4 linked regions of the Pelodiscus sinensis genome follow. The protein of the gene in region 2 interacts with the protein of the main gene of each other region in a pairwise test. Links are inferred from orthologs where the notes say so. Each region holds a gene or a part of one and is shown on either strand. Other genes may lie near its edges. The genes, in order: MYL6, NUDT21, RBM48 and RPLP1.

What was found.
Region 1: the proteins of NUDT21 (region 2) and MYL6 interact in binary tests that used the Homo sapiens proteins (3 or more experiments, as listed by UniProt). The two-hybrid records come from large-scale screens. The link is inferred for Pelodiscus sinensis from reciprocal best matches to the Homo sapiens genes NUDT21 and MYL6.
Region 3: the proteins of NUDT21 (region 2) and RBM48 interact in a two-hybrid assay, tested with the Homo sapiens proteins (2 studies listed by BioGRID and IntAct). The link is inferred for Pelodiscus sinensis from reciprocal best matches to the Homo sapiens genes NUDT21 and RBM48.
Region 4: the proteins of NUDT21 (region 2) and RPLP1 interact in a two-hybrid assay, tested with the Homo sapiens proteins (2 studies listed by BioGRID and IntAct). The link is inferred for Pelodiscus sinensis from reciprocal best matches to the Homo sapiens genes NUDT21 and RPLP1.

What each region holds. Positions count from the first base shown.
Region 1 is NC_134729.1:4,087,889-4,095,162, reverse strand, and holds the start of MYL6 (myosin light polypeptide 6), read left to right. Parts: upstream 1-4,259; 5' UTR 4,260-4,274; coding exon 4,275-4,400; intron 4,401-4,645; coding exon 4,646-4,673; intron 4,674-7,274. Other genes in the region: myosin light polypeptide 6, read left to right, coding at 114-142. UniProt on the Homo sapiens protein: Regulatory light chain of myosin. Does not bind calcium.
Region 2 is NC_134722.1:44,118,432-44,125,635, forward strand, and holds the start of NUDT21 (cleavage and polyadenylation specificity factor subunit 5), read left to right. Parts: upstream 1-4,193; 5' UTR 4,194-4,349; coding exon 4,350-4,465; intron 4,466-7,204. Other genes in the region: prolyl 3-hydroxylase OGFOD1, read right to left, coding at 81-127, 3,510-3,655, 3,802-3,970. UniProt on the Homo sapiens protein: Component of the cleavage factor Im (CFIm) complex that functions as an activator of the pre-mRNA 3'-end cleavage and polyadenylation processing required for the maturation of pre-mRNA into functional mRNAs.
Region 3 is NC_134712.1:213,672,278-213,679,176, reverse strand, and holds the start of RBM48 (RNA-binding protein 48), read left to right. Parts: upstream 1-3,890; 5' UTR 3,891-3,974; coding exon 3,975-4,085; intron 4,086-5,848; coding exon 5,849-6,039; intron 6,040-6,328; coding exon 6,329-6,474; intron 6,475-6,899. Other genes in the region: peroxisomal ATPase PEX1, read right to left, coding at 1,197-1,343, 3,481-3,603. UniProt on the Homo sapiens protein: As a component of the minor spliceosome, involved in the splicing of U12-type introns in pre-mRNAs.
Region 4 is NC_134712.1:7,725,734-7,733,558, reverse strand, and holds RPLP1 (large ribosomal subunit protein P1), read left to right. Parts: upstream 1-4,818; 5' UTR 4,819-4,929; coding exon 4,930-5,001; intron 5,002-5,509; coding exon 5,510-5,584; intron 5,585-6,636; coding exon 6,637-6,748; intron 6,749-7,334; coding exon 7,335-7,414; 3' UTR 7,415-7,461; downstream 7,462-7,825. UniProt on the Homo sapiens protein: Plays an important role in the elongation step of protein synthesis.

The sequences.
Region 1 (7,274 bases), on a different chromosome or scaffold from region 2:
AGCCCAGGGTCAGCCCGGACTCGGGGCCCTCTGGCCGCAGGCTCTGAGCCAGAGGGCTGGGGGGGGCCCAGTGGCCCCTTTCTGTGACTAATGCTTCTCTCCTCCCCTCACAGCCTTCGTCAAACACATCCTGTCTGGCTGAGCAGGCAACATGGGGTAGGTGCCCCCTTTTATTCGTCAGACTCCTTTTTGGGGGTGGCTGCTCCTTTCTCTACCTTGAGACCCCCTTCCCCTCGACCCTGCCTCTTTGCCAGGCCCTGGGCAGGTCCTCGCTCACCTGTGTAGCGTAAAACCCCTCTGCTCTGGCAGAGATGTGTTTTCCCGGCCGATCCCCTCCCCCGGAATACCTCCCAGTTCAGCGTCCTTCGTCCCATTCTAGTGGGGGAAACTGAGGCAGAGGGATTTGCTCAAGGTGAGCAGCAGGTCAGTGGCTGAGCCAGGCGCAGAAGCCAGGTCTCCCGCATGCTGGTCCGCGTGCTAACCACTAGGTCATGCTGCCTGAGAAACAGGCCCGGGTAGGATGCCCGCAGACAGGGCCAGCGTGAGTCTGGCTCAAGCCTGGTGAACTAGCTCTGGTACCAGCTGTGGCCCAAGACCATCAGACCGGCCCAGCTCCACTCTGCAGCACCGTGTCCCTAACGGGGCCCTGCAGGGTGCAATCAAACCTCTGAGGGGCCTGGGGAGCTGCCTCCAGAGCCCCAGGGGGGCCCCAGGGTGGAAGAGCCCCATGCAAAGGGGGCAGCGAGGCTTTGCTTTTATCACTCAGGATAGGGCATCGGGGTGCCTGGCCCCTACGCCCAGCTCTGACGTGGCCTCAGGCAAGCCCCTTCCCGTGCCTCAGTTTCCCCACCCCTCAGCACACGTCCCTTGCGGGGCTCCCGAAAGCTCCAACTCACCAACACCGCCCCGGCTCCCAGCGCCTCTGCTAGGCCAGCATCCTGCGGGCACAGCGGGTGCCCTGCGCACGCTGGGGCACCTGAGACCAACCCGCTGGCCCCGCTGTGCCGGGGAGAGATTCCCTCCAGCCTGTGCCCCGGGGCACGGAGCTTGAGATCAAAGCGAAGCTCTGGGGCGGCTCCTCCTCCTCCTGCCCCTGCCCCAAATGGGGCCCCAGCTCCCCAGATGGGCCACACGGGGCCTCTCACTGTCTCCTCTTCTCTCCCCAGGCCGGGCAGGATGGGGCTAAGCACCTGACATCTCCGGTGAAGACTCCTAGGCCCATCAGTCTGCGGGGGGGGGGGGCATGTCCGCTGCTCCCTTTTTCTCTCTAACCCCTCTCCCCCACCAATGGCCGCTGCAAAGGACTTGTAAACGCCTGACCGGAGTCTCCAAGGCCTCAGGACACCAGTGGCTGAGGATCCAGCAAGGGGGGTGTCGCAGGGTCCCCCCGAGAACAACGGCCCAGCCCAGGGGAGCCCACTAAGCAGATCTGCGGCCCCGCTCCAGATCCCCAGGCAGGAACGGACCCAATCCCCCTTGTGCCCGTCCTGCGTCTGGACAATAAAAGCCGTTTGTTTCCAGAAGCCTCTGGCCTCTAGGGTTCGTGTGGGGCCTCCTGCTAGTGGGGGAAAATCCCCCCCCCCACCGGCGCCCTAAGTATTCCAGGGGAGCCGTGGTGCAGACACCCTGGTGCTGGCAGAATTCCCTGGGGAGGTGAGCTCTGGAGTCCAGAGCCAGGGAATGGCAGCAGGGTCCTGGAGAAGTTCGGGGAAACACACCCACTGGTTCCTATTTGTATGGGGGTGAAAGGCTGGGACTGGAAGCACAGGGATCTGCCCCAGCAGCCCCCAGGCCTGCCCTGTGGCCCACAGCGCCCCCTGCTGGGAGCAGGAATTCCTCCCCTGCTGGTTTCTTTCCCGGCACTCACAAACTCCGCTCTTGTCCTTTTGTTTTTCCATTTGCTGCGTCCTCGGGTTGCCAGCGAGACCCAAAAAGTGCCATCGGCAGTGGAGGGTCGCCCCCTTCCCCTCCCCGCCTGCCGTTTGCAGAATCCCTGGCGTTACCCCTCAGTCAGGGAGCAGCCACTAGTAGGGTTGCCAGGTGGCCGGTTTTCACCCGGACAGTCCGGTAATTGCATCTTCTGTCCGGATTAAAAAAAAAACCAGAAATGTAAAATGTCCAGTATTTTCTGTTTTTCTGGGACGGAAAGCCAGTGAGGACATTTTGCCCCAGCTGCATCTGGCAGGGGTGCAGAGAGTGGGGAACGCAGGAATTTAAAGGCATAGCAACTCTTTTTTTTTTCCCCCCCTCACCCAATTTTTTTTCCCCACCATATTAGGGATTTTTTGTGAAGATATCTGGCAACACTAGCCACTAGCTGTGTTATGGCCCATTTGGGACCTGGGAAAAGCCAGCACCTTCCCTGCCTTCCAGCGGGAGGCACCTGGCTCCAGGCGGTTTGGAATTCCTCTGCCCTCTCCTTGGAAAAGACTCGGCACGTCAGCGCCACCGAGACGGAGACACAGGCTGAGGCCTGTCACTAGCCGAGCCATGTCGGGGCATTCGCGGACCGGCATGGGGGTCCCACTGGCCCGGCTGCCCTGGAGGCCGAGAACTGCAGCTGCAGCACAGGGCACCGGGGGAGTGGGTGACACTTGGACTGAGGGGTCCGTAGCCCAAAAGGGGCATGAAATAAAGGTGCCCCGAGCTGACCCAGTCCTAGTGCAGGGCTTGGTTAATTCTCAGGCAGGTCAGAGCGATCAATGAAAGTGAGAGAAATCTGACGCATTAAGGACAAATTGTTGGGGTGGGGGCAGGAGGCTTGTGGGGTTCAGGGGGGGTGTCTTTCCCATGGGGCTGGAAGATGATTTGCCTGAGTGAGCACTCGCTAGGTGTTTGGGGCAGCTAAACCTAGCAGGGTCAGCGCCGGGCGACTGCCAGAGAACAGGGGCCTGCTCATTAAACCCCCCGACTTGAATTCCGCCCCATTTGGGTTAGGCTGTTGGCAGCCATGTCAGCTGAATGGACCCAGCTGGCCGCTGCCGGGTTCTCACTCCCCAGCACCGTCGCCCTGCTCAGCCGGCAGGTGGGTTGGGATGGGAGAGACAGGCTGGCCCAGGCGCCCCGTTATGGATGATGCTTTGGTGGTGTGGGGGCTGCAGGCTCTTCCCCGAGGCTGCCCGCTGGTGCGGGGTGATCACACCTGTGGGGGGCGGGGGTGTCACCTGCTGAGAGGCGAGCGCCCGCACAGAGAACGGGTCCCATGGAAATGCCCATGTACATGCTGCCCCTGGTCCCTGAAGAGCTGTTCTGTTAAATTCGGCTCTGGTGAGGCCACATCTGGAATATTGTGTCCAGTTCTGCCCCCCCCCCCCACTCTAGACAGGATGTGGACGCATTGGAGAGGGCTCAGCGGAGGGCGACCAAAATGGTTGGAGCACATGACCTATGAGGAGAGGCTGAGGGATTTGGGTTTGTTTAGTCTGCAGAAGAGAAGAGCGAGGGGGGATTTGAGAGCAGCCTTCAACTTTCTGAAGGGAGGGTCCAAAGAGGATGGCGAGAGGCTGTTCTCAGTCCTGATGGAGGGAGCAATGGTCTCAAGTTACAGTGGAGGAGGGCAAGGTTAGATATTAGGAAATACTATTTCCCTAGGCGGGTGGGGAAGCACTGGGATGGGTTCCCTAGGGAGGGGTGGAATCTCCAGCCCTAGAGGTCTCCACCTGACAAACCCCTGGCCGGGTTGATTGAGTTGGGATTGGTCCTGCCTAGAGCAGGGGGCTGGATTTGATGACACCTTGAGGTCTCTTCCAGCTCTAGGATTCTATGAAATGAAACCCACCCTCCCCCCTGTTCCCCCAGCCCCTGCTGGGACCCTGCCTGCCCCCCACTTCCTCCAATCCCTGCTGGGACCCTGCCTGCCCCCCACTTCCTCCAATCCCTGCTGGGACCCTGCCTGCCCCCCACTTCCTCCAATCCCTGCTGGGACCCTGCCTGCCCCCCACTTCCTCCAATCCCTACTGGGACCCTGCCTGCCCCCCAATTTCCTCAATCCCTGCTGGGACCCTGCCTGCCCCCCAATCCCTGCTGGGACCCTCCCTGCTCCTGTTTTCCCAACCCCCTGCGGAACACCCCCAGACCTCCATTTCTTCTAACCCCCTCTGGGACTCTCCCTGCCCCCCTGTTTCCCCATCCCCCACTGGGTCCCCCTAGCCCCCCATTCCTCCAACCCCCTCTGGGTCCCTCCCCGGTCCGGCCCCCCCGCAAGACCCCCATCTCCATGTCTATCTATAGACAAAGTCGGGGCTGCTGCGAGCGACTCCCCCGTCTAAGGCCTGATGCCGCAGTTAAGTAGCACTGGCCAATGGCGTGCGAGTGCCGGGGTGACGTCAACGTCTGTAAAAAAAGGGCAGAGGAAGCAGAGCGCAGGGTCCATTGCTGGGAGTGGAGCTGCAGCCGCCATGGTAGGGGGGGGGGGCAAGCTGGGGTGCACGGGGGGAGGGGGGCCGAGCTTCGGGCGCACGGGGGGCGCACTGAGGGGGAGGCGAGCACCAGGGTGGGGGGGTCACGCTTAGGTCCCAGCCCGCCTAAGCCAGCGACCTGCCTCCCGGGGGCGCAGCGCTTCTGGGGGTCCGGGCTCGCGGGCGTGGAGGGGGGGGGGGGGGCTGGCAGCCCCGCTGACGGCGGCTCCGCTCTGCTTGCCTTGCAGTGCGATTTCTCCGAGGATCAGACGGCCGGTAAGTGACCCTCCCCCCTTCCTTGCGCAACCTTTGCGCGGTATTTTCATCTCGGGGTGACTCCTTGGCGCGTCCCGCCGCCGCCGAAGGATTCACCGCTCTCTCTCCCTCCCTTATAGACCTTCCTCCTCCTCTGTCACTAGCCTTCACTCTCCTGTAGCCTCCTCTTTCTAGCCTCCGGCGGTAAGTGGGGCCGGCCCTACCTGTGTGATCGCTCCCCCCTCCCATTAACACGGGGCCCCTCGCTTCGGGGGGAGGGGGGGCTCTCTCCGGGCTGACTTTGGCTCTTGCTGCTCCGGGGTTCCCAGCTCCCTAATCCTGAGTCTGGGGGTGACTCACCTGCCCCCCCTTTGCGCGCATGGCTCACCTATGAGCAGTTTCCTGGCCCAGCCCGGCGGGCCCCGCCCAGCCTGCGGGCCTCTCTGCCGGGTAACCCAGCACGGCCGGATGGGGGGCAGATTAGGCTTTAGGGGCGCTGCGTGGACCCCCCCCCCGCCTGTGAGTCAGGGGAGGGGTGGCCGGCTGCAGGCGGGGTGTGGTCGCAGCGGAAAATGGCTGCAAAGCTCTGGGACCGGCAATCACCCGTGGCAAACTCCCAGCTCGGGCGCCCCCCCGTCCCCGGCGGGGCGGGAGACACCCGGAGCAGGGGTCGCGGCTGGAATGTTGCGCTGCGCAGTCCCTGCGCGCTGCCTCGCTTGGATCTCCATATACGGGCACAAAACCCGCGGCCCGGGGCCCGCCCGCCTGGGCGGCAAGGGGGGCCCGGCCGTTCCGGGCAGGGATCAGCCAGCCCGGGACGTGGGGAGGGGTCTCCGCTAACCGGGGCGTGGGGAGGGGCCAGATCCTCTCTGGGTCCCCTGGCAGGTGCTTGCTGTTGGCTACAGCAGGAAGTGCCTAGGGCTAGTGAGTTTCAAACTTTTTTCCTTATGACCCAGCTGAAGAAAATGTTTAGGCTGGGTTGCAGCATCATGTGGCGGGCGTGGGGGCTGAGGATGGGGTGCAGGGAGGGGCTCTGGCTTGGGGGGCCATGGCTAGGGCAGGGGGCTTACCTTGCACGGCTCCGGCGGGGGCCCTAACGCAACTTCCTGCCTCTTCTGGCCCTGCAGACCAGGCTGAGCCTCCGAAGCAGCCGGCAGCAGGTTCCCAGCCAACGAGTGGGGAGTGGGGTCTAGCGCTCCGGGCAGTCCGCCGAGTCCTGTGCGCTCTTCTCCGTCCCCGGAGCCCGGCCTGTTGCCGGCCACTAATGGGGCGCGGCGCAGCCTGTGGTTCTAGGACAGGCAGGGAGCTGCCTTAGCCCCCCACTGTTCCCCCTGCTGCCGCAAGCCCTAGTTTGAAAAGCACTGCACTAAGGAGTGAGCCCTGTCTCCTGGGTTCGTTCCCAGCTTCAGGAGGGGAGTGGTGGGGTCTAGTGGGTTAAAGTGGGGGGAGGGGAGAGCTTGGATCCTGGACTCCTGGGTCCTTTCCCCAGCTCTGCAGCTTTCTCCTTCCCATGGAGGTTCTGGGCAGACTGCTAGGGGGTGGGAGGGCTGTCTTGTGCAAGGTGTCGCTTTGCCTCCTCCCCTGCCAAGACCCCACTCTTGGCTGTTGCCCCCATGGCCACATCCCTCGTGCGAGACTCACCGGGGCTGACCCTTGGGCGTTGCAGTGCCCTGATGCCCCCGGTTGGCCTTAGCGTCAATTACTGTGTGAGCACCTCTAGGGCCGGGTGAAGGCGGAACTGGGGACCCAAGTGGCGCCAACCTGCCAGCTAAGGCGGGTGCAGCGTTGCCATCAAAGGCAGGCGTCTCCCATCCCTGGCTCAGGCTGGGCTCAGCGAATGGGCAGCCCCATGCAAGCCCCCTGGCTCTTCCCCGAGTCTGCGTCCGGGAACCTGGATCCGACGAGGAAAGGAGATCTGGGCGGCTCTGCACCCGGCGGTTCCCTTCGACTCCACCAGCCGGCTGCGTCGCTCGGGGGGGGGGGGGGGGGGGAACTGGGGAGGTAGTCGAGGCCCGGCAACCCTTCAGCTAGGAGCGGCTCTAGCCAGAGATGTGTCATTCTCCCCCCCTGCCCCCCTATCCCAGCATCAGTCTGTGCCGGCAGCAACAGCTGTCTGAGCTCAGGCTAGCGCAGCGTGACAGTGACCAGTCTGGGGCAGAGCTGGGAATTGGACCTGGGGCTCTCCAGTCTGGCACCTTATCCCAGGCTTCCTGTCGAGGGCAGGTCAGAGAACTGGCAGGGACCTCGTGAGGTCGTCAAGTCCGGTCCCCTGCCCTCACAGCAGGACCTAGCACCAGCTATCATCCTCTAACCTGCTCTTAAACGTCTCCAGGGATGGAGATTCCACAACTCCCCCCCCCCCCCCCCCGGCACAGTGTTTCACCCTCCTGAGTTAGGAAGTTTTTCCTAGTGTCCAACCTAAACCTCCCTGGCTGCAGTTTAAGCCCCTTGCTGCTTGTCCTGTCCTCTGAGGCCAGGAAGAACAAGTTTTCTCCCTTCTCCTTATGACACCCTTTGAGATACCTGAAAACGGCTCTCCTGTCCCCCCTCAATCTTCTCTTTTCCAAACTAAACAAGCCCAGTTCTTTCAGTCTTCCCTCCTAGCTCATGTTCTCTAGACCT
Region 2 (7,204 bases):
TCATTTTTTGGCCCTGTTCCTTTCAGACCTCTAGAAAAGGGTGCCTAATGATTTGCTGTGATTTCTAGGAACTACCTTACCTTAATGCTGAGATGTAAGGCTCTTTCCTCTTCCTCAGATCATCAGACTAAGGAGATGCATGGAAAATAAGAACAATTTATTAATTTGGACTCTGCTCTAAGTTACAGCTGCAGCGATAAATAAGGGCAGAACTTAAATAAGTCTATAAGTATCATCAGTGTAATTTACAGCTCTTGCAGGAACCGGAGTGCAGAATGGATGGCAGAGGGCCATTGCAGGCAAAAGGCGAATTAAGTAGCCCAAAAGTTACTAGGGCACAATGCCAGCTTCACCAATGCAAGTTAAAGGTCTCAGGGCACTGGTCCAACACTCGATATTAAAGCTGAGTCATTGACTTGCCAAGGAAATGTCTGCACTTGGGAGGGGAGTATCTGTATTCTACGGCTACCACACCTCAAAAGAGCCTCTACTTTCAGCATTGTACAGGATATACACATAGGGATTTCTCTTTCAGACGACAGAGATGGAGGGACAGCCAATTTTTAGCGTGCCAGAGGGTGGAGAAAGCAGAAGAGGATTACTAATCTTTCTACATGTGTAAGTTTTTCCTGCAGGATGAGAGAGTGATGCCATCATGTCACTCTGCGTCCTGCAGTTCCTCCCTCCTCAGCCACCCAGCCTCCTCCCTCACTCCCATACTGGTGCTGAGGGTCCCAGCCTCTCTGATGCCGGAGAGGGCAGCAGCTAAGTGGCCTCCCTGGAGCTCCTGGGGACAGGGTGGCAGCCACGTGGCTTCCCCAGCCTCCCCGGAGCTCTGGGGTGGGAAGTCAGGGCTGCCTGCCCCCAGAGAGGAGGGTTGACGAGCGGAGCGAGCAGGGGACACTGCCCCCAGTGTCTATTATCTAGGTTTAAACCTGTGTTCTCCTAAGTTAGTCTGCACCTATTATTCTGCAAAAGTCATCATTAAATACTCTTTCATGCTCATATGGGTACAGGCAGACAAGCAACACAACACCTAAACACCTCCCAAGAAGAATGATCTTCCTTAATCATATTTACATACCTTCCTGGTGCCTCTCCCTTCCCCCCTGCCCCTGCCCTCCTTCTCCTTGGTGCCCACTCCCTCACCACCCTCTACCCCAGTTCTCCTCACTCCCCTCTGTGCCCTCACACGACTTGCTCCATCCCCTGCCTTCCTCAGGTCCATCGCGCCTTTAAATGCCTCTTCTCCCAGCACTCACTCCTCCTCTCCCTCCCTCTTGCCCCCACGGTCCCTCCCCTTTCCTCTCCCAGCATCACCCTGCCTCTCCCCTCCCTCCTTTTCCTCACTGTCTCCTCTTGGCCTGGCATTTCTCTTTCCTGCATCCTGCCCCTTGGTGCCTGCCCCTTTCTTTTCCTGGCGTACCCCCCCTTGCCTCAGCACAAGTCCCTTCCTCCATTCTCCTTAGTTCTCTCCCTGCCCCTTCCCTCAGCTTCTGCCTTCCAGTTTGTGGGGGTGGAGCCTGCTGACCAGCCCCAGAAGTCCCCGCAGCCCCAGATGCTCCCAGAGCCGGACCACTTGCCGGGACTGGAGCTGTGGCCGCCCACAGTGTTATTTTTAGTGCCGCAGTCCATTCCCCACGGGCAGCCCTGGCTCCGGCTGGAGTCCAGCGGCATCTGCGCGAGACCCAGCTGGAACATGGCTCGTGTGGCTGCCACTTGACTCCAACTGGAGCCAGGGCTGCCCACAGTGCTATTTTTAGTGCCGCAGTACAGTCTCTGTGGTCGGCCCTAGCTCCAGCTGGAGCCAAGTGGCAGCCCTACGAGGCACGTTCCATCTGGGGAAGTCTCACCAGAATACTCCTTGCATGACTGCTGCTTGACTCCAGCTGGAGCTGGGCCACCAACCATGATCTGGACTGCAGCACTAAAAATAGCTCCACAGGCGGCCCCTGCTCCTGTCATGGCACCTGCCGAGCCAAGCGCCCCTCACCCTGCAGCATCTCAGCCAGGCTCTGCACGGCTCCTGCCAGGCTCCAAGGCGGCCTGGAGGAGAAGGAGGTGGGGCTGCCGGACCAGGACTTTGCATAGCAGAGGCGGTCCTGTGGGGGGAGGGAGAGAGGAAAGGGCGGGCCACTGGAAACTGGCCCAGTAGCCCTACATGCCCTGCTGGGGGGAGGAGGCTGCTGCGCCAGTATCCCATCAAGTAGTGAAATGTCCAGCGGGGCTTTCTGGGACATTTCTCTACTTGATGGGGCACTGGGACAGATCATTTAAATTCAGGATAGTCCTGAAAAAAATGGGACATATGATCAGCATAAACATAGGTGTCAAGGAGTTTCACTCACAGCTTTGCCATTAACTTGAGATCCCCTACAAACCAGATAAAGTCATGGGTCAGAATTAGGCTTGAATAAATTCTTATAAAAATAGTTCCAACATGCATTTGCTTTACACTTTGTTAATTACATAGATTTACATTTTACATAGTTGTGCAAAATTATACATTTTAAGCATTTTCCCAGGGTTTATTCATTTAAGTTAGGCATCTAAAATAGCGCTTCTCAACAGTTAGTGACAGCTTTTGACAACATTAACCATGGCATGTCATCTTGCTTATTTCCACATTTCAACTTTATCAGCTATGATAGCCACACACACTGGTCCAGGTGTCATGAGGCTTATCCTAGATCTATGAAACATGAATGCATTTGTACAGCAGTGTCGCTGTAAGACAGGCATGTCCAAAGTCCAGCCCGCGGGCCAATTGCGGCCCGTGTTCCGGTTTAATACGGCCCCACAGGTAATTTGGCAATATCTATCTTTTATGGCCCCCAACGAATCCATATGTATTGAGATGAATACATTGTAAAATGTCAGTTGGTCTAAATCAGTTATAAATATATTTGGACACAACATGTATACTTGGTGTTACGTTCCTGTTCATATTTTTTGAACTTAAAAGTTGACAGACAACCTTTATTACCAATAATATGTAATGTACTTTACAATGTTCCTGACATATATTTCAGCTTCCTGGATTTTTTTTTCATCTGGCCTTCAGATATGAAAGGCAGAGTGATTTAACACCTGTTTAGATTTGTCATCCATGTGACGAAATGAAAAGTATGCCGTTTGCAATAAACTTTGCATAAAATAGTTAATTTGCATTTAATTTGAATGGCTCAAAGAATGTCAGGCAAAATGGTCGGCCCTCACGCATGTTCACTTCATCAAATCTGGCCCTCTTTGAAAAAAGTTTAGACACCCCTGCTGTAAGGTCTCCTGTGTAGCTGCACTGTCCACATCAGCACTTTTGCTGGTGAAACTTAATGTTGGTCCGAAGTGTGTTTTTTGCACCCTCCGGAACGACAGAAGTTTCACTGACACAAGTGAGATGGAGCCAGTCTGAATTCACAAATAGCTGCAAGCACAGACCGGGGCTATGAACACACAGCGAGCGCTGTGAGATCGGTGCGGACACACTCGGGCCTACCATGGCAGCGCACCTGTTTGAACTTGTACAAGTCGTTGCTCTTCTCACGGAAATCCAGGCTCGCGAGCTCCTGGTGCAGCCCGTCCAGGAAGCCCGGGCTGCGGATGAAGCGGGGAATCACGCAGTGACAGAAGGGCGCAGGATCCACCGCGACGGCCTCTGGAGACAGCAAGCGAGACACGGTGAGGCCAGGCCCCGCCTCGGGCTCCCCACGAGCTCGCCGCCGCCCTGGCCCGCGGGGGCCGAGAGGGGAGGCCAGGCCCGGGCGCCTCAGCGAGTGGGGGAGGGGCCCCGGGAATCGGTACCGTGGCTAAGCGGCTCCCTGCGGCCCCAGGCGGCCGCTGCCTTCTCCTTCAGGGCCGGCTCCCTGAGAGCCGCGGAGAACTCCCCGCGCACCTCCCGCTTGCCCCGCTTCTTGCCCGGCCCGCCCTGCGGGGCCTCCCTGGCCCGCGGGCCGCGACGGCTCGCGCTCATGGTCAAACAGCCTCTGCTCCGCCAGCGCGCGGGGACAGCCACCCCCGCGGGGCCTACAACTCCCAGCAGCGCTCGCGCAGCCCAGGGAGCCAATCGGAATGAGCCGAGAAGAGCGCGGCCCTGAAGCCAAGGGGAGCGAGGCTACAAGCCGCCAGTGGTGCGCGTGCGCCGTAGGGCGGGTGGCGGCGCGCTTGCTGTCCTCTATGGTCCAGGCGCTCTGTGCGCCAGTCTCTATGGTTACCCTTTCCGGCGCGCGCCCGGTCGGTTCCGGCGGAGCCATTGGCGGGGTGTGAGGCCTGGCGCGCGGGGATGTTAATGGTGGAATTGGCTCCCGCCGCCGAGCAGTGACCTAGCCCCTCCCGCCTGCCGCTGCGCCATCATGTCCGTGGTGCCGCCCAACCGCTCGCAGACCGGCTGGCCCCGCGGGGTGAACCAGTTCGGGAACAAGTACATCCAGCAGACCAAGCCGCTCACGCTGGAGCGCACCATCAACCTGTGAGTGCCCGCCCCTCCCCCCTCAACTCCCCGGCCCCCCCCTCAGCTCCCCAGCCCCCCTCCCTCAGCTCCCCGACCCCGGCCCGGCCCCCCCCTCCCTCAGCTCCCCAGCCCCTCCCCCAATCTCCCCACATCCACCTGCGAGCCCCGTCCCCCCCTTCCTGTGGAAGACCCTCACCGTGCCCCGGGCTTAGATCTCCCCCGGCTTCCGGGGAGGGAGCAACACCCTGAACTCTCGGAGCTGCTGGCTCTGGAGAGGGCCGTCTACAGCCCTTTCTCCCCATTGCTCCTGCCTGTGCCTTAGCCCCTCACCTCAGGCTGGAGGTGAGGGCCTGAGGGAAGGAGGCCCCTTCTGATCCCACTATCTGCTCACACTGGAGAGGACTGAATTCTGCCTAACTGGGATGGCTTTAATGGGAGCAGGCTCTTTACCTGGAGGAGACCTTCAGTTTGTGAGGAGAGGCATTAGGACCGTCAACGGGGGGTGTAAATATACCGCTGCTATCTAAGTGAGATTAAATAAGGGGGTTGCTGAGTTAGGAGAGTTGCACACCTGTTTTCCTGAGGGTTTATATTCCTTCCACCTCTGTGGTGTCTTGAGTTTGTGTATAGGATGTAAAAGTGTGTACCCAATATGTGCTCATTGTTCAGCGTGTACTGAGTTTACAGGACAAATATGTACCTTTTTTGGATGTTTGGAAGCTGTAGGATGCAACTTGATTTGTATTAAGTAACATGCAAGTGCTGGTATGCAATGATTGCCTTAGTGGGCCATTTATTGAAGCAGGCTTAGCTTTACAGTGGACATCACATTTAGTTTTTTCTTCTTTGATAAGTTTACAAAGTTGCAGTAATGGCAAACAAATGTAATACTCAGTACTCCACAATTAACCATTACACACTCAGAGCTTTTTTTTGGGGGGGAGGGGTAGCTGAGTTAGTCTGTACAGATAAACTAAAAAAACAACAAATAATAGTCTGGTAGCACTTTATAGACTAACACAACATGTAGATGGGATCATGAGCTTTCGTGGGCACCGCCCACTTCTTCAGATGACCAGAGTGTTGGATTTCTAGGACCAAAATGAATGGGCGGGGAGGGGGGGGGGAGAAGAAGTGAAAATTGGGAGGAGGAGGTAACAAGAAAAGGCAGTAGGTAAAAAATATATGAAAGGAAAGCTGAGTCTATAAGTACCTAAAGACTAGATAGTCAAAGGGGGCAGATAAGAACCATTAATTAGCAAATAATAAAGCTCATTTGCAAGTTCAATTCTCACACCTCTGGATTAAACAAAGATACTGGATGGTTAGGTCATTACCTACCTATCAAACAATGAGGGCAACAGTGGTTCTTTGTCTTTGAAGAATCTCATGATAACAAATTCTAGATATTTCATCAGTCTAAGTGTTTCCTGACTCTTTGTTGTTTGCTAAGTCCCTGCTCCTACCAGGTCCAGCAGCCCCAGGGTGTGGCTAGCCCAAGGCTCTGCTGCCAGAGAAGCCTCCTCTACCCCTCACACCTCCCTGCTGCCTTTGCCTCTTTTAAGATGGTTTCTCCCAGCACTGGCTCCTGTTTTCTCCATCCCCAAGGTGGAGGGTGGGGGGAAGTAAGAAGATGACTCAACTACTCTTTTACATCCCTACTTTGAAGCCCAAATGGATAAAACTAATTTTAAAAGTGAAAATGTTAATCTACAGGGATTTTTGTTGAGGGGAAACAGTCTGTTAGCAAGAAGCTGTAACTCTTTGAATTTGTGTTTATTAGTACAAGTCAAATTTTTTGGATCCAGATTAAGGAATATCACACATTTATAAAGTGGACAGCGCTTCTCTATGATAAATATAATCTTATTTTAGAGAAGGAATTATAATTTGAGATTTCTGAAATAATTTAAGTAGAAGAAGAAAATAGTGGTGAAATCATAAAGCCACAGATAAAGAGGAGAAAATACAAGAGACTGGTAATAAAGATAATAAAGACACCATTGATCAGGAAGCAAGAGACCTGTAATTGAGAGGATGTTCATTAAGATATTCTAAAACTAGAGATGCTTGTAGAATAGCAGCATGCATGAGAATTGGCTCTGATACTCTGTACTGGAAGATGGGGAGAAATTCCAAATTAGCACTGAATTTGGGAAGCTATCTCTAAGATTAAGGTTTTAGAAAAGAAACACCTAAAAAGATTTCAAGTGAAATGTTTATAATGACCTTAATAGTTATCAGATTCAAATGAGTTATTTAGAAATGCATATTAGTATCTTGCATCAAAGCATCTGCACAAATCAATAAAAATCAAGAACCGATCAACCAAATATAAGAGAACTTCCCCTGCTTATTAACAAACTCATTCCCTGCTACTACAATGATTATTCAAAAGTCTGTCAAACAGACTCTGAAAGCACAAGCTTAAGAACTCTCCTAACTCAGGCAGAGATCAAGTAGGAGGTCACAGATATAGGCTCTCTACTTGAGTGTCTTGCTGCTATTTGTGGAGAGCTTTAAGGCTTGGAATAGCTGAGTGTGAGCCAGTGGTTTACTCTTGCAATTGCAGAGGGACAGCCTTTCAGGTAAGTGGAGCCCAAATCATTTAATTAGAACTTTATAGATTATAACCAGTACCTTGAATTGCATCCAGAAGAGAATAGGGAGCATATGTGTGCACATCTTATAAATATTTTGAAATCAGTGATAGCTAATTTTATACTACGGTAGCTGACCCTCAGGATGTACTGTGCA
Region 3 (6,899 bases), on a different chromosome or scaffold from region 2:
TGTGTGTGGGGGGGGTGGGGGGGGGGGGGGCAGGGGCGGGAGAGAAAGAGAGAAGGCTTGAAAGCCGGCTCCCTGCACATACCAACTCCCGACTGCCCCTCCATCCCCACACTACTGCCACTGATACAGTGGGGGTGGGGTCTGCATGTGACCAAGAGGGTTAACTGATGAGCCCAGGCTTATCAGTTAACTGTGTACTTGGATACGCAATCACATTAGGGATGTTAAATATCAAGTGAATTGACTAATCAAATGCTCGATATATTTTGCATCGACTATTTGATTAGTTGATAGGGCACCTCTGCCTTTGAAGTATAGCAACAGCCCTTAAGCTGTTGCTACTCTTCAAAAGCTAAAGTGCTGTGTGGAGCCTGGGGTCAGCTGGGGATTCGCCCGGTGACCCCGGGCTCCATGCAACGCTGTTGCTTTGAAATGCTGCATGCAGCCTGGGGACACCCCAGCTGGCCCAGTCTCCATGCAGCATTGCCGCCTGGAGCCCAGGGTCTGGCCCCACGCTCCACGTGGTGCTGCTGCTTTGAAGTAACCCCTTCTCTTCCTCCCCTTGCTGCTTCTTTCTGAGAGAGGCAGCCAGGTGGGAGGAAGCAATTAGACGACTAGCCTGTAGACTATCCAATAATCATTTATCAGACAGTTGACTAATTGTTCACATTCCTAAATCGCATTCCTAGCAGAAATGCCCCCAACACAGTGGCAAATATCCTCCATACTCCCCCCCCCCCATACCTTGCTTCTGTTTGGGGGAGCATTGGGGGAGCAATGCCTCCCCCAAACTACATCCATGGACATCCCCAGACCAACTACTCCCAGTGCCAAATACCATGCAGTTATGTGACCACACTCTTGCAGCTTCCCTTTGCTTCCCTGTGATTTTGTGCGGGAAAGCTTAGGCATGGGTTAAAGAATCTGAATTCTGTGATGCTCAATAATGCAGAATTCCCCAATTCCCTCAGAAGTAAAACATAGCTGTTGTGGTATGCTTAGGATATAGATGTCCTATAGTGAACACAACAGATACAAAGTGAAAAGAAATAGCAGCATCAATAATATTGCTGCATTCAGTCCCAGTGAGGACAGTGGGGATCTGTCTGCCTGCATGGAACAGGCTGCACAATTGGAACCTAAATGAAAGCATTATTTCTTCCAGAAATTTTGTTTAAAAAAAGTGCATTCCAAACCTGTTCTCCTTCTGCAATGCCAAGTTTCTCTGCTAGGTGTCTGTTAATTTCAGCAATATTTTCACCATGGTGATTACGATGTCTAATTTCCATCCAACTCAAAAATATAGGCTGGTAACCCAAGGAGATTTTCACAGCTTGGCCCTGCTGATTTCAGACAACAAAATAACATTAATAGAAAACAATGTAAATAAAATTATACTCCACAAATACTGCTTGTTCTCATTAACAGTATAGACAAAACCTGACATTTGATTACAAAATGAAGAAATGCGGTTTGTTCCTGGATTTGCCATGCTTTCTTTTAACAAATAATGTAGCATCTTAGCACAAGACAGAAATACACTGTAATACACTGAATCATTGAAAATCTGAATACGACACTCCATGCCGGTGCAAAGATCTGCCTATCTATCTCTGATTTGATCACTGGGGCCTTGCTTTGATGGATACTAGAAACATAAAGTAACGAAGGTAGAGATTTACACACACAAAAGGTTACGAACCCGTTTGGTACCTCAATATATGCATCTTCTTGGCTCTTTATTGTTTTAAAGATTAATTTAGATTCTATCAAGTTATTGTTAAGAGTGTGGAAAATGTAAAAGAAGGGGATATTAGGAGGGAATTGGATGAGTATAGGCAGATTGTGTATCATTAGGAATCAGGGATAACACTCCATGGTACAATTTTTTGGGGGAAGGAGACAAGCAGGGGTTGTATCATGTATATGTATCAAAAATATATGACACTGCATTTGTTTTGTTTCACTGGACAAGTCAACTAGAGTTGAAGACAACTCTACAGAAAGTGGCATATCTTACGTCCCTTTGGCTAGCCGGACAAAGTGAGAGACTGTCTCAGCTTCCGAGGCACCGGTACCCAAAGCCCATCGGTGAGGTCCAAATTGCTGTGCTTTGGAGCAGTCTTAAATACAGTTTTCTTGCCTTGTTTGGCAGTATGGAAATTTCCAGGGGTTATTCATTACTTGCTGATGTAGGGCTCGGCTGTTAGTTATCCATCTGGTTCTGATTTTGTTCTACTTGTTCTTTGGCCTTGTTTAAGTGATCAGTGCATTAGAGTAAACAGGATTGTTTATGCGTTCTTGCCCTTTACCCTCGTTCTTGCTATACTGGCAACAATGCTTATCTTAAATGGCATATGTTCCCAAAAACATGCTTCTGGCTCATCAGATATGGGGGAAGGGGTAAGAATGCAGGCCTCACACCCCTAAACTTACATGTACAAAACTCTTCCGCAATTAACTCCTACACCCTGCAGCAGGTGGAGAGGCTGCTCCAACCAGCCATAGCTGTGCTGTGGGCGGCTGGCTGCTCTCCACACCAATTAACGGGTTAACTGATAAGCATGCCAGTAAAGCAATGCTTATCAGTTAATTGGTTAACTTTTTACACCTCTAGATCAGGGGTCTTGTGAGGCAGTCGATTCAAAGTGAATCACTGGCACTGGGGCCACCATGAAAACTTACTGGCATTGTGAGGACATTGTGTGTTGGTGCTGGTGGTAGTAACGAATTACTGGTATTGCAGAGAGTGTCATGAAGAGATGCTAATACTGGGGGCATCACTAGCATTAGCGGACATAGTGAGGAGATGTTAACATTGGGGGCACTGCAAGCAGCGTGGGTGTAACTGGCATGGAAAGGGAGCAATGCAAAGGGGCTAGTATCAGAGTCATCACTGGCCTCAGGGGTTGTGAGGAGGTGCTGGTAGTTTTGCTAGCATTAGGGGCTGTTGTGAGGAAATGGTGGTATTGGAGGCATTGCTGGCTTTGGAGGCATTACTGGCTGAGAGGGCACTGGTGTGAGGGGAGTGTGATAAAGTGCTGGCATCAGAGGAGTTGCTGTCACTGGCGAGCACTGAGGGGCGCCACTGGCGAGCACTGAGGGGCGCCACTGGCGAGCATGGAGGGGGAGCACGATAAGGAAGTGCTGGTGATGGGATGTCGCTGGCAGTGGGGTAATCGGTGGTATGTGAGGAGATCTGGCAGGGGGTGTCACTGCATCACTGGCATTGGGGGGAGGGAAGCGGCGAGAGAACGGCCTGGCGTTAGGATGGCAGGGGGCGGGGTCTAACGGACCGGGGGAGCGGGACTGAAGCGATGTCACCGTAGCCCTGAGGGGGATGCTGGCGAGGAGGGGTGAAGCCATGAAAGTTAGAGGGGCGCCTCCCAGTCCCTCCCGCATGCTGGTGGGGAGAGGGGCGGGGCTCTGCCACGATCCGCTCCGAGGGTCCCATCGCCCAGCCGGGGCCCGCCCCAGTACCTGCTGCAGGCGAAGGTGGGAGGCCAGCGCAGGCGGCAGGTGCAGGAAGCAGTCCCGGGTGCCGCTGAAGGCGACAGTCACAGCAGCGCCCCCCGCGCCTCCGGGGTAGCCGCTGCCCCACATCGCCCCGGCCGCACCCAGCCGCGGCGCGCCCCGGCAGCATCGAGCGGCCGCTCCGCACTCAGGGAGCGTTACCCCGTGTGGCCAGAGAGAAGGAAGCACGAGCCCTCAGTACTGGCCCCTACCCTCCAGCAACATTGGTACGGCCCGCCACAGGCCAATGAGCGTGCGTGCCCCCTTCGCCCGCTTTCTCTGATTGGCTGTTCTCTCGAGGGATTCTGCAGGTGCTGTCTGGTCAGCCCAAATCTCTCCTGCGCGTCCCCGCCCGCAGCCAATGAGCGCGCCGTAATCGCTCCCCGGTTCTGTGACTGGCTGCTGTTTCGGGGAGCTACTGGTGCTGCCTGGCCGTGGCGCGCGCGGGGGGAGATGGGAAGATGGCGGTGCCTGGCGATGGAGTTGGGGGCTTTTGTAAACACCACGCGCAGCAGGGCGTCTGCGACTCGCGCGCCAAGTACCGGGAGGGGCGCAGGCCCCGCGCAGTGAAGGTGGGAATGTGCGGGGCCTGCACTGGTTAGCCCGGGCTACGGGCCACCTGGGCGAGCATCTGGCTTCAAATGCCCGCGCCCGCCCGCGGGTACGCGCCAGGTTGCGGGCTGCTCTAGCCGCCTCCTGTTCTCCCTGCGGGAGCGTCACCCTGCTCCGAACGCTGCGGCGCCTGGGGCAGAGTTATTCACTCCCTGGCCCAGGCTAAGGCCACCCGGGGGCACGGCACAGGGCGGGGCTCTGGCTGGCTCTTGCTCTCCAGTGGCTGTGGGTGCACGCTCTGTGTTCAGTTTTGTGGCATTGTGATCCAAAGGCCGCAGCCTGTTGGGGTGATAGGATGGTGCAGGATTGCAAATCACCCCATCACACACTCTCACCTACCTGGCGCTGCCTGGAAACTAATGAGGTTTCATTCTGGCAAAAACCGATATAAAGCTTGCCACCAATGAGTTAGGAACCATTTGATTAACATATTTAAAAGTTTCAGAGGGGTAGCTGAGTTAGTCTGTAACAGGAAAAACTTAACAACAAATAGTCTGGTAGCACTTTAAAGACTAACAAAACGTGTAGATGGTATCATGAGCTTTTGTGGGCACAGACCACTTATTCAGATGAGCAGAGTGTTGGAAGTCCAGAACCAAGAATAAATAAAGGAAGGAGTGATGAGGAGGTGTCAATGGTTCTTGATGTCTGTGTAGAATCTGGTGTCACTACTCTTCCTTTCATAGTGCAAACTAATGATTATCAGCCTCTTTTAACTATTTAGTCTTTAAGATGCTAATAGACTATTTGTTGTTTTTTAAATGTTTCCTGTTTCAGACTGGCTCTGCTATCCCTTTGAAAAGTATGTACCCAATGTCCTCTTTTCCTCCCCTCCAATTTTTTTCCTCCCTGCCCGCCCCCATCTCTCCTTGTCTTATTTATTCTTGGTTCTGGACTTCCAACACTCCAGTCATCTGAAGAAGTGGGCCACAAAAGCTCATGATACCATCTACATTTTTGTTAGTGTTTAAAGTGCTACCAGACTATTTGTTGTGTTGTGTTGATTAACATATGTGCGTCTCTCATTACAACAAACATCAGTTTGTTCCGGCCACATTTAACATCCCCCACTCCACACAAACCTGGCCATATTGGGAGTGTTAATCATTAATGTAAGGAATGTTCGATTATGAAACTATAGGAAACATTAATATTGAAAGAAATCTCACATTTCAAAATTCTTCTTGCACTATTTTGGCCTCATTTTAGATGTCTTGTTACATGCTACAGAAAGCCTACCAGCATTCAGTTGAATCATAGAATTGTAGAAAATAAATTGAAAAATGTATTCCCTTATCTTGTCTTGAAAGGTTGCATACAATACATACAAGCTTCAGGGCCCAATCCTGCAAACATGTTCATTGTTGAAAAGCACATGTAATGTACTGGCTAGACTATATAGCATTGCTCTTTACTGGATCAGATCGGAAATAAACCTAACTCAAATGGTAGGCATCTGCTTTTGGATCAGAATGATTGAGTTCTATAACCAGTCACTGATGAGGAAGTCCCTGCTGATCATAGAATTCTTACAGATTTCTGTTTGTTGGGAGTCCCTATAATACTTTCTTTGAAAGATTCCAGGCTTGAAATCAAGGGGGAATGTTTAAAATTTTCTAAAGTTCTAAGAGGTCAATAGAAGAAAAATACTTGAGCTGCTTGAATATAGTATTTAATGTTTTATTGCAAGATAAATGTATGTAAATGTTTTTATTTCTTTTAGGTGTACACTGTCAACTTAGAATCTCGTTATTTGCTAATACAAGGCGTTCCTGCTTTGGGTGTCATGAAGGAATTAGTGCAACAGTTTGCATTATATGGTGCCATTGAGGAGTACAATGCTTTAGATGAGTATCCAGCGGAACAATTTACAGAAGTTTATCTTATCAAATTCCAAAAATTACAGAGTGCAAGGTATTGCAACAGATAACATCTGTATGCTTTCCATTTTCTTCAATCTTTGGTTTCTTAATATAATATATTTTCAAGTAAATTTCTTGAGATTCAGGTAAAATATTTATTCCACGTAAATATGCTTGGTAAATACAAGAATGATGTGTTCTCTGTACAGTGTAGTCATGTAAACGTTTATTACAAACATAGATCAAGAGAATATCAGTGATCCACAGATACGTTTGTTAAAATGTAAGCTATGGTAATATTGGACTAATGTAACATTTTAATGCAATTTTCTTTCATTTAGGATAGCCAAGAGAAAAATGGATGAACGGAGTTTCTTTGGTAGTTTGCTTCATGTGTGTTATGCTCCAGAATTTGAAACAGTCCAAGAAACAAGGGAGAAGTTGCAAGACAGGAGAAAGTATATAGCAAAAGCAACAAGTAATAGAGGTTTGTAATTGGACACCCTTTTGAAAGTTTAAAGTATCGCTTGTGTTGTGGGTATGTTTTAGCAAAGTAAAAATGCCTATTCTTATAGTTAATTGTTCCTATTTACTTTTCTACAAAGTGTGCGTGTCTGTGTTTTCAGTATTTTAAGAGCAGAATGGGAAGTTCTCAGTGTTCAATGGATTCTAAATGATCACAAAAAATATAAAACAAATAGTGAATAGGGGATTAACAAAAGGATAGGTTTTAATGCTTTTGTTTCCCTAGTTTCTTTTCTTGATAATGAGGTGTGTGATCTCATTTATCAGAAACATAAGCATAGCTAAGAAACATGAGGTGAGAGTCTTAGCCCCATTCTGATCCTTGTGCAGGGTAAATGGGCCCTAAGGTCATGGATCCACCAAAGGTAGAATTCCCCCAGTTGCAGG
Region 4 (7,825 bases), on a different chromosome or scaffold from region 2:
GTGCGAGCTGTGCTTTTGTGCAAAAGCGCCCATGGCAGCGTGGATGCTCTCTTGCGCAAGAAAGCTCTGATGGCCATTTTAGCCATAGGGCTTTCTTGCACAAGAAATCCCTGCCAAACGTCCACACTGCCCTCTTGCGCAAGAACTCCTGCACAAGAGGGCTTACACCTGTTAAAAAAGAGCATAGCTCTTGCGCAAGGAGCCCTCTCTTACCACGCCGTACTGTAAATTTACTTGCGCAAGAGTGGGCGGGCAGTGTGGACACTCTGCAGATTTTTGCGCCAGAACAGCAGTACTTGCGCAAGAAGCTGCGAATGTAGACATAGCCCCACTATTTTTCACAAACCCCTCAACAACATAGAGAAGGCTTCCATGGGAAGCTACCAGACATGAGCCTCATCACTCTGGCCAGATGCAGCCCCGGTGAGGACAACCCTGGCTCTATCACCAACTTATCCAATGAAATGGTTTTTGTGGGACTCATAGACCACATACAGGAGGCATTACACCAGATCCTCCGGTCCAGGAAGATGGGAAATCAGATCACTTCCACCCTCACCAAGAGGAACTTCTGAGATTCCTGATGGAGAGACAGAGGAGGAAGGGAGGATGTCTGAACTAGACCAGGAGGATACTTCATCTGCCTGTAACTCCTCCTTACTATAGTAAGATGAGGGCCTGAAATAAAAGTTCATGTAAAATAGGCCTGGTTTGAGGCCTCAGGCCTAGTTAATAATGGTCAAGACTTTGTTAATATAAAGCAAAGCTAAGTTGTGAGCAAAAGGCAGGCCCTCTGTTCAGAGAACTTCTCACAAAAAGGGCTGATAGTTTAAAACACTAATTGGTAATAGGCTGAGGTGTAGAACAGTAATTGGCACTAGGTACTGGCTGTAAAACAGAAATTGGTACTGGTCATAAATTGAAAGCATATTCCAGAAGGATGCTAACAACATCTAATTAAAAAGGACCGTGGTACCCACGCTCCCCACACATAACAGGGACATACCAATCCAGGGTCAGGAAAGGATCTAAAATGATAGCATGATGAATGAGAGATGTTCTAATCAAGCCACAAGGTGCAGGGTGAGGGGTGGCCTCTACATAGTGTCAGAGGATAGCAATCTGTCATGTCTACAGAACGGGTGGGCAAAAGCCTCTCAATGGGCCAGATCCGGCCTGCCTAGGGCTTTGATCCAGCCTGTGTGGCTGTTCCAGGCTCTGCTCCCTAGTGCATTGCCTGAGAGCTGGAGTCCTGTGAGCCCTTTTAACTGCTTCTGTTTAAAGGGCTTGCGTGTCTCAGGCTCCCAAGCAATGCTAGTAGCGGGAGCGGTGAGCCCTTTTAACTGTTTCTATTTAAAGGACTCTCATGAGCCCTTTTAATGGAAGTAGTTGAAAGGGCTCTAGCTCAAGGTTCCCTGTAGACTGCACACTGGTGTGGCTGCCCAGCTCTTTTCTGAGCCCTCACAGAGGTTCAGAGCCCCCTATGCAGGTACAGAGCTCAGGTTGGGGAAGGGGCGGGGGGACAGACACTTGCTTCCTCATGGGGTGGAGGAGTGAAGCAGCAGCAGCTGCCTGCCTGCTGTACTGGCCCCAGCCTCTATTGTGGTCCTCCCCCCTCACTTTCCCACTCCTCTGGAGGGTCGGTACTCGCAGGGGGATCATGTGACCCAGATCGTGCTGAAGCGTCTGCTGAAGGGGAGGAGGGAACTTTGCTTCATTGCCTGCAACCAGCCACATGTAAGAAGCTGGGTAAGTTACAGACCTGCCAGATTGGCTCAACTTCTCTGCCTCTTTCCCAAATCCTCCCCTATCCTGTGAACTGCTAACAATGTAGCAGCCTCCCTGTTTCTCCCCTTGTCCTCCCAATGGGGAATTGGCTGGGCTGGGATCCTCTTTGTTACACTTCCCCACTGGCTGTGTCTAGACTGGCCAGTTTTTCCGGAAAATCAGCCGCTTTTCCGGAAAAACTTGCCAGCTGTCTACACTGGCCACTTGAATTTCCGCAAAAGCACTGACTTCCTACTGTAAGAAATTGGTGCTTTTTGCGGAAGTACTATGCTGCTTCCGTTCGGGCAAAAGTCCCTTTTGCGCAAAACTTTTGCGCAAAAGGGCCAGTGTAGGCAGCTGAGATTTGTTTTCCGCAAAAAAGTCCCGATCGCGAAAATGGCGATCGGGGCTTTTTTGCGGAAAAGTGCATCTAGATTGGCCACGGATGCTTTTCCGCAAAAAGTGCTTTTGCAGAAAAGCGTCCATGCCAATCTAGACACTCTGTTCCGAAAATGCTTTTAACGGAAAACTTTTCCGTTAAAAGCATTTGCGGAAAATCATGCCAGTCTAGACGTAGCCACTGTGTGTGGGTATGCCACATTTGCATGATTACATTTCAGCTTGAGAAAGACATAAGGAAGAAAAAGATTATTTTAACAGAATATTTTTGACTTGCAGATATCTAAAACTCTGATCTTAATGATCTGTTTTTAAATCCTGTTTACTAATTAATACATGGTTAATTGTATTGCATTAAGGCCAGATCTTTGCTATGTGGTAGAGTTCTGGCTCTTATGAGTTAGAAGTAGCAAGTGATGCTGTTTTGTAGGATGAAACCTTATTTACAAGAAACATCTGTTAGAAAGGATGATGATATGTGTACTCCAAGTTCTCAGAGGGGTATCCCTGTTACTATGTAACTAAGAAAACTTAAAAAACAAGAATGGTCCTGTAGCACCCTAGAGACTAACAAAAATATATAAATAGTATCATGAGTTTTCCTGGGCACAGTCCACTTCTTCAGCCATGGGTAGTGTTAATTTTCTTTTCGTTTGTTTTCATATTAAATAATCATAAGCATTGCTCCTTGTTAATTATCCCTTGTTTTAATATATTTTCTTCCACACCTGTGGACTACTTAAAATATATACTTATATCTAGTGTTTTTGTTTGTACTGGTGGGTGGACATCCACACACTACCTCAATATTGGTGTTGCACATAAAAAATTTCAACCCACCCAAAAGAAAATTCAACCCGCCCAAGGATGGAAAATCTTAGAGGGAACACTCTAGCATCCCTGGCACCAAGGCTGGGAGCAGCAAACCTTTAAATAGCAGGAATTGAAAGGAGCTTGCAGCGCCTGTCCCCTACTAACTTGATGCCTGGGAGCTGCAGGGGAGGCACAAGCCCTTTCAACTGCCATTTAAAAGTTCCTTCCCTTCTGCCTAAGGCTCTGCCCTTTCTGTCTGAGGCCCCGCCCCCTTCCAAAGTGGCCTGTGATCACTTAAATTTTTTTGAAGTGGCCCCCATTCAAAAATTATTGCCAGCATCTAGAGTGATGTGTAACTTATTTGTACTTGTATATAAAGAGATATGGTTCAGTAGAATCTACTTACAGCTATTACTGTACTTCATTTAAGAATAAACCTAGCCAGGCACCTTCTATCCTTATCTGATTTTGTGGTCTTTGAAGACTCTCTTGGAGTCTGCTGTTTTGACTACTTGTACAAAGTCAACATAACACACAGGATGGAGACACCTGCACATGTCTGAACGGTTATCATTGATGGAGGAAGAGACCTGTTCAGGACACTACATCAGTAAATCCTGACTACTACACTGGATGAAGCGATTATACCAACAACCCCAAAAGCATCCAGTGACTTGAAGCAGTTCTATAAATTGCAGCAAATCTTAGTCCACAGCGGGCCAGGTCACCCCTGCAGGCAGGGGCTGCTCTCCTTGGGATGCTGGAGCAGTCCTTGCCTGTGGCAAGGGGGAGGTGGTCCAACCCAGGAGTGTGCAGGGTGTGTGTGTATGCTCCAGTGAGGCTCACCTTCTCTTTAATCAGTTAACATATTCATTAACTAGTTAGCCAATTAAATGGGATTTTACAACCCTACTAACTATATCAAATGACCTGATCTCATAGAACAGTGTTTCTCAACCAGTGGTACTTGTACCTTCAGGGGTACTCAAGAGAAGTGTGAGGAGTACATCAACACAACTGAAATTTGGAGAAAATTGAACTTTTAAGTTTTACAGCACATTATTATTTTTGTACTTTTTTACCCACAAAAATGTCATCACCCACCTGGTTACGATTAAATTGTTTAAACAAATGTGTTGTAATGGTAGAAAAAGATTTTATGTGTCTGAAAACTGTAGGTGCTGGGGGTACTTTTATATTTTTAAAAGGGGAACTTACAATTTTTTTTGAAAAAGGGGTACTTAATAAAAAAGGTTGAGAAACTGTCATAGAAGATCTTCCTAAGCAGGGATGATAGCATCTTCAGGAGAAGGCTATCGTCAGTAAGGGTCACATTACAGCCCCCACAGTACTAGATAATACTCTTTCTTCACATCTGCTGTTAAACTTAGCGTGTGACTTTTTTGGTCTGTTTGCTATTGTCATTTGCTGGGCAGCTTGCCCTACATACGGTGCTAGCTGCTACCTTTTTATCTCTCGTTATGTAGGTGGGGCTGTGAGCAGAACCTGCATGAACCTAGAGAACACGGGCGTGAGAGAGAGGGATTCTCTCCATTGCAATGGCCAAGATCTCAGGCGCGCCCGGAAGACATTCGTCCACTTCGCACCTGCCCCCCCAGCTGCTTCAGCGCGTTAGCTCTCCCTGCCGTCCCCCCTTCGGCTGGACTCGGATACTTCCGTGAGAGTCCATCACTTCCGACACAAGCGGGGCCTTGCTCTGATTGGCTAGGACCGCACATGTTTGTGATTGGTCAAGAATATCCTGCTTCCAACTGACTGGCTGACAGATCCGCTTCCGGCCTGTGATTGGCTGAGGCTGGATTTATAGCCCTGTCCCGGAAACGCGGCCCCCCTCTTTCCGCTCTGGCCGCACAAGGTGCTGGGTCCTTCAGCTGAAGCTAAGGCCGTTCCACCCCGGCGACTAGCACCGCGCCGCGCGCCCATCCAGCCATGGCCTCCACCTCCGAGCTCGCCTGCATCTACGCCGCGCTCATCCTGCACGACGACGAGGTCACCGTCACGGTGCGTCCGGCCCGGCCCCACGCGCGCAAGATGGCGGCGGGCGCCTCCGCCTGCGCGGGAAGGGGGGGGGGGGGTGGGGAAGCCTCTCGGCCTGGCTCCCTCCTGGGCCGCAGAGCGTCTGAGTCGGGGGCGCGCTCCGCCACGCGGGGCCACGGGCCGCCCCGCACCAGGCTCCGGGCTTGCGCTGCGCCGCGACCGCGCCGGTTCCGCCCGGTTCCTGCGGCAGGACGTGGCTGTTCCCGAGCTCGGCCTTTGCGGCGGCAGCGCAGCTCGCTGGGTAGCGCGGCCCAGGGGCGGGCGGGCCCTGTGGCAGCTTCCGTGACGCCGCTCGCCTGCTTCAGTTCGTAGGCAAGGCCGGACTCGTATCCCTTCTGGTCTCCACGTGCGTGAGGGACTGAGGGTGCCTGCTGGAGATCCTGGGCCACAATGGCTGGGAGAGGACTAGAAATGCACGTTGTGCCGGTGCCTGACTTGTTTGTTGTTATAACAGCATGTTTAATTGTTTCAGGAGGACAAAATTAATGCACTTATTAAAGCAGCTGGAGTAAATGTTGAACCGTTCTGGCCAGGCCTTTTTGCAAAGGTAAGAAATAACAGAAAAGTGGATCAATGAATTGTAGTGGGTCCAAGTATAGCATGTGCAGTAGGTAGCTTCGGCCTGTGCACAGCTGAGATTTGTGAATAGTTTGTAGATAACAAGTAGTAGTTTTCTGGCACTCTGGCAGATAGCTATTAAATTACTGTCCAAATGTAGTTGAGGTTGATATTTTGAGAATCCTCTTCCTCTGATTAAATACCCAACTGATAATCTAATTAATTAAAATTTTATCAGCATTGAATGGTGTTGATGAAAACAAATTTTAGCAAAGTGGTGACACTGGTTAGTTATGTGAGCATGGAAGGCCAAAATATACAAACCCTAGTTGGAGAGTTCAGTGCCTTGGCTGGTGTTTCAGAGGGTTGGAGTTGAGCAATAGGTACATCATATAAGAAGCTCTAATGTGCCTAGAGATGTGGGTTGGTCATCTTTTCAGAGCCATTCAGAAATAGAATTGACATCAAACTCTGACTCAATTTGTTGGCTTATGTGGTAAAAGAAAAGCTTTTTTTAATATTGCCCTGAAAAATCATAAGAGATTGGGGACTCAGATGGCTTTTTTCCCCTCTACGTCTTGTTAAAGATACTTCAGGACAAATTATGTATTCTGACATGTATGCAGTTTCATTCCTTTAGTTGGTGCTGACCCATCTTATTAACCAAATCTTGCTAAATTAGACAAAAACGTTGCTTAGAGCAGTTAACCTTTCTCATGGCATCTTTAATGTTAAAAGCTTGCTTTGGTCAAAGTTGTTTGAGTTACGTTGGCAAACTTGTCGCTATACAGTTTTGTAAGTTGAGATGGATCATTACTTTATCTTGCAGCATGTTGCAATTATAACTACAGTAGGAGACTGACAGCATCCCACGCACCGTAGTAAGGAAATGCATTATTAAATCTAACTTACGATTTAGCCTGACCAATTTACTATGTGCAAGAGTGCTGAATTATGCAACTTTTAAATATCCTTGAAACAGCAGTGAATAGTGTGCAACTTCTGTAAAATATAGTTCTAATGAATTTTAAATATTCTTAGGCTCTAGCTAACATTGACATTGGAAGCCTAATCTGTAACGTAGGAGCTGGTGGTGCTCCTGCGGCTGCTGCTCCTTCTGGAGGCACTGCTCCTGTTGGTGGTCCTGCCCCTGGTAAGTGAATGCTTTGATTTCTGTTATCTTGGCATAACTTCAGAAGACATGACTGTGTAAAATGGTGATAAATCCTGTCTTTGTATGGTGTCTAATTCACTGTATTTTTGAATTCTTACAACTGCTTTGTAATAGATAAACTTGTCAGACATTTGCAATAAACAGCATTTTGTTCTGTGTGGTTAGCTATAGTTACGTTTTTACATTTTCTGATCTCTTAAGATAATATGAATTCAGTCTGCGGAACTACTGTTTCCTGACTGCTAAAGGGCATAACTATAGTTTGAAAATAGTGAGCTTACGAGAGAGGCATTGTTTGGATGGGGAGAGCAGGCTTGTTACTGAAATTTTAAAAGCACTGCTTTATCTCCCTGTTCTCCAGTGTTGGTCATCAAAGGCACTGCATGGAGTAAGGGCACTGATAATCTGTGGATTAGATTCTTTGGCTGTGGTACTGATGTGCTTATGAAGCACCACAAATTACATTGGAAAGCTATTTTACAATTGTGATTCTTCCATTGTAAACTCTTCCTGGAGGTTAGTTGAGTCTTGACTTTAACCGTTTTCTCCCCCTTTTTTTTTAAAGCTGAGGAGAAGAAAGAGGAAGAAAAGAAAGAAGAATCTGAGGAATCTGATGATGACATGGGCTTTGGTCTCTTCGACTAAACTGCCTTTTTGTACCATCTGTAATAAAAAACAAAGAAAAACTTGAATCATGTTTTACTAATCTATTAGAACTCTTTGAAGGGGGTCAACAAACATGGACAAGGGGTATCCAGTAGATATAATGTACTTATATTTCCAGAAAGCCTTTGACAAGGTCCCTCACCAAAGGCTCTTATGTAAATTAAGTTGTCATGGTTTAAGAGGGAAGATCCTTTCATGGACTGATAACTGGTTAAAAGACAGGAAACAAAGGGCTGGAATAAATGGTAAATTTTCAGAATGGAGAGGGGTAACTAATGGTGTCCCCCAAGGGTCAGTCCTAGGACCAATCCTATTCAACTTATTCATAAATGATCTGGAGAAAGGGGCAAACAGTGAGGTGGCAAAGTCTGCCGACAATACTAAACTGCT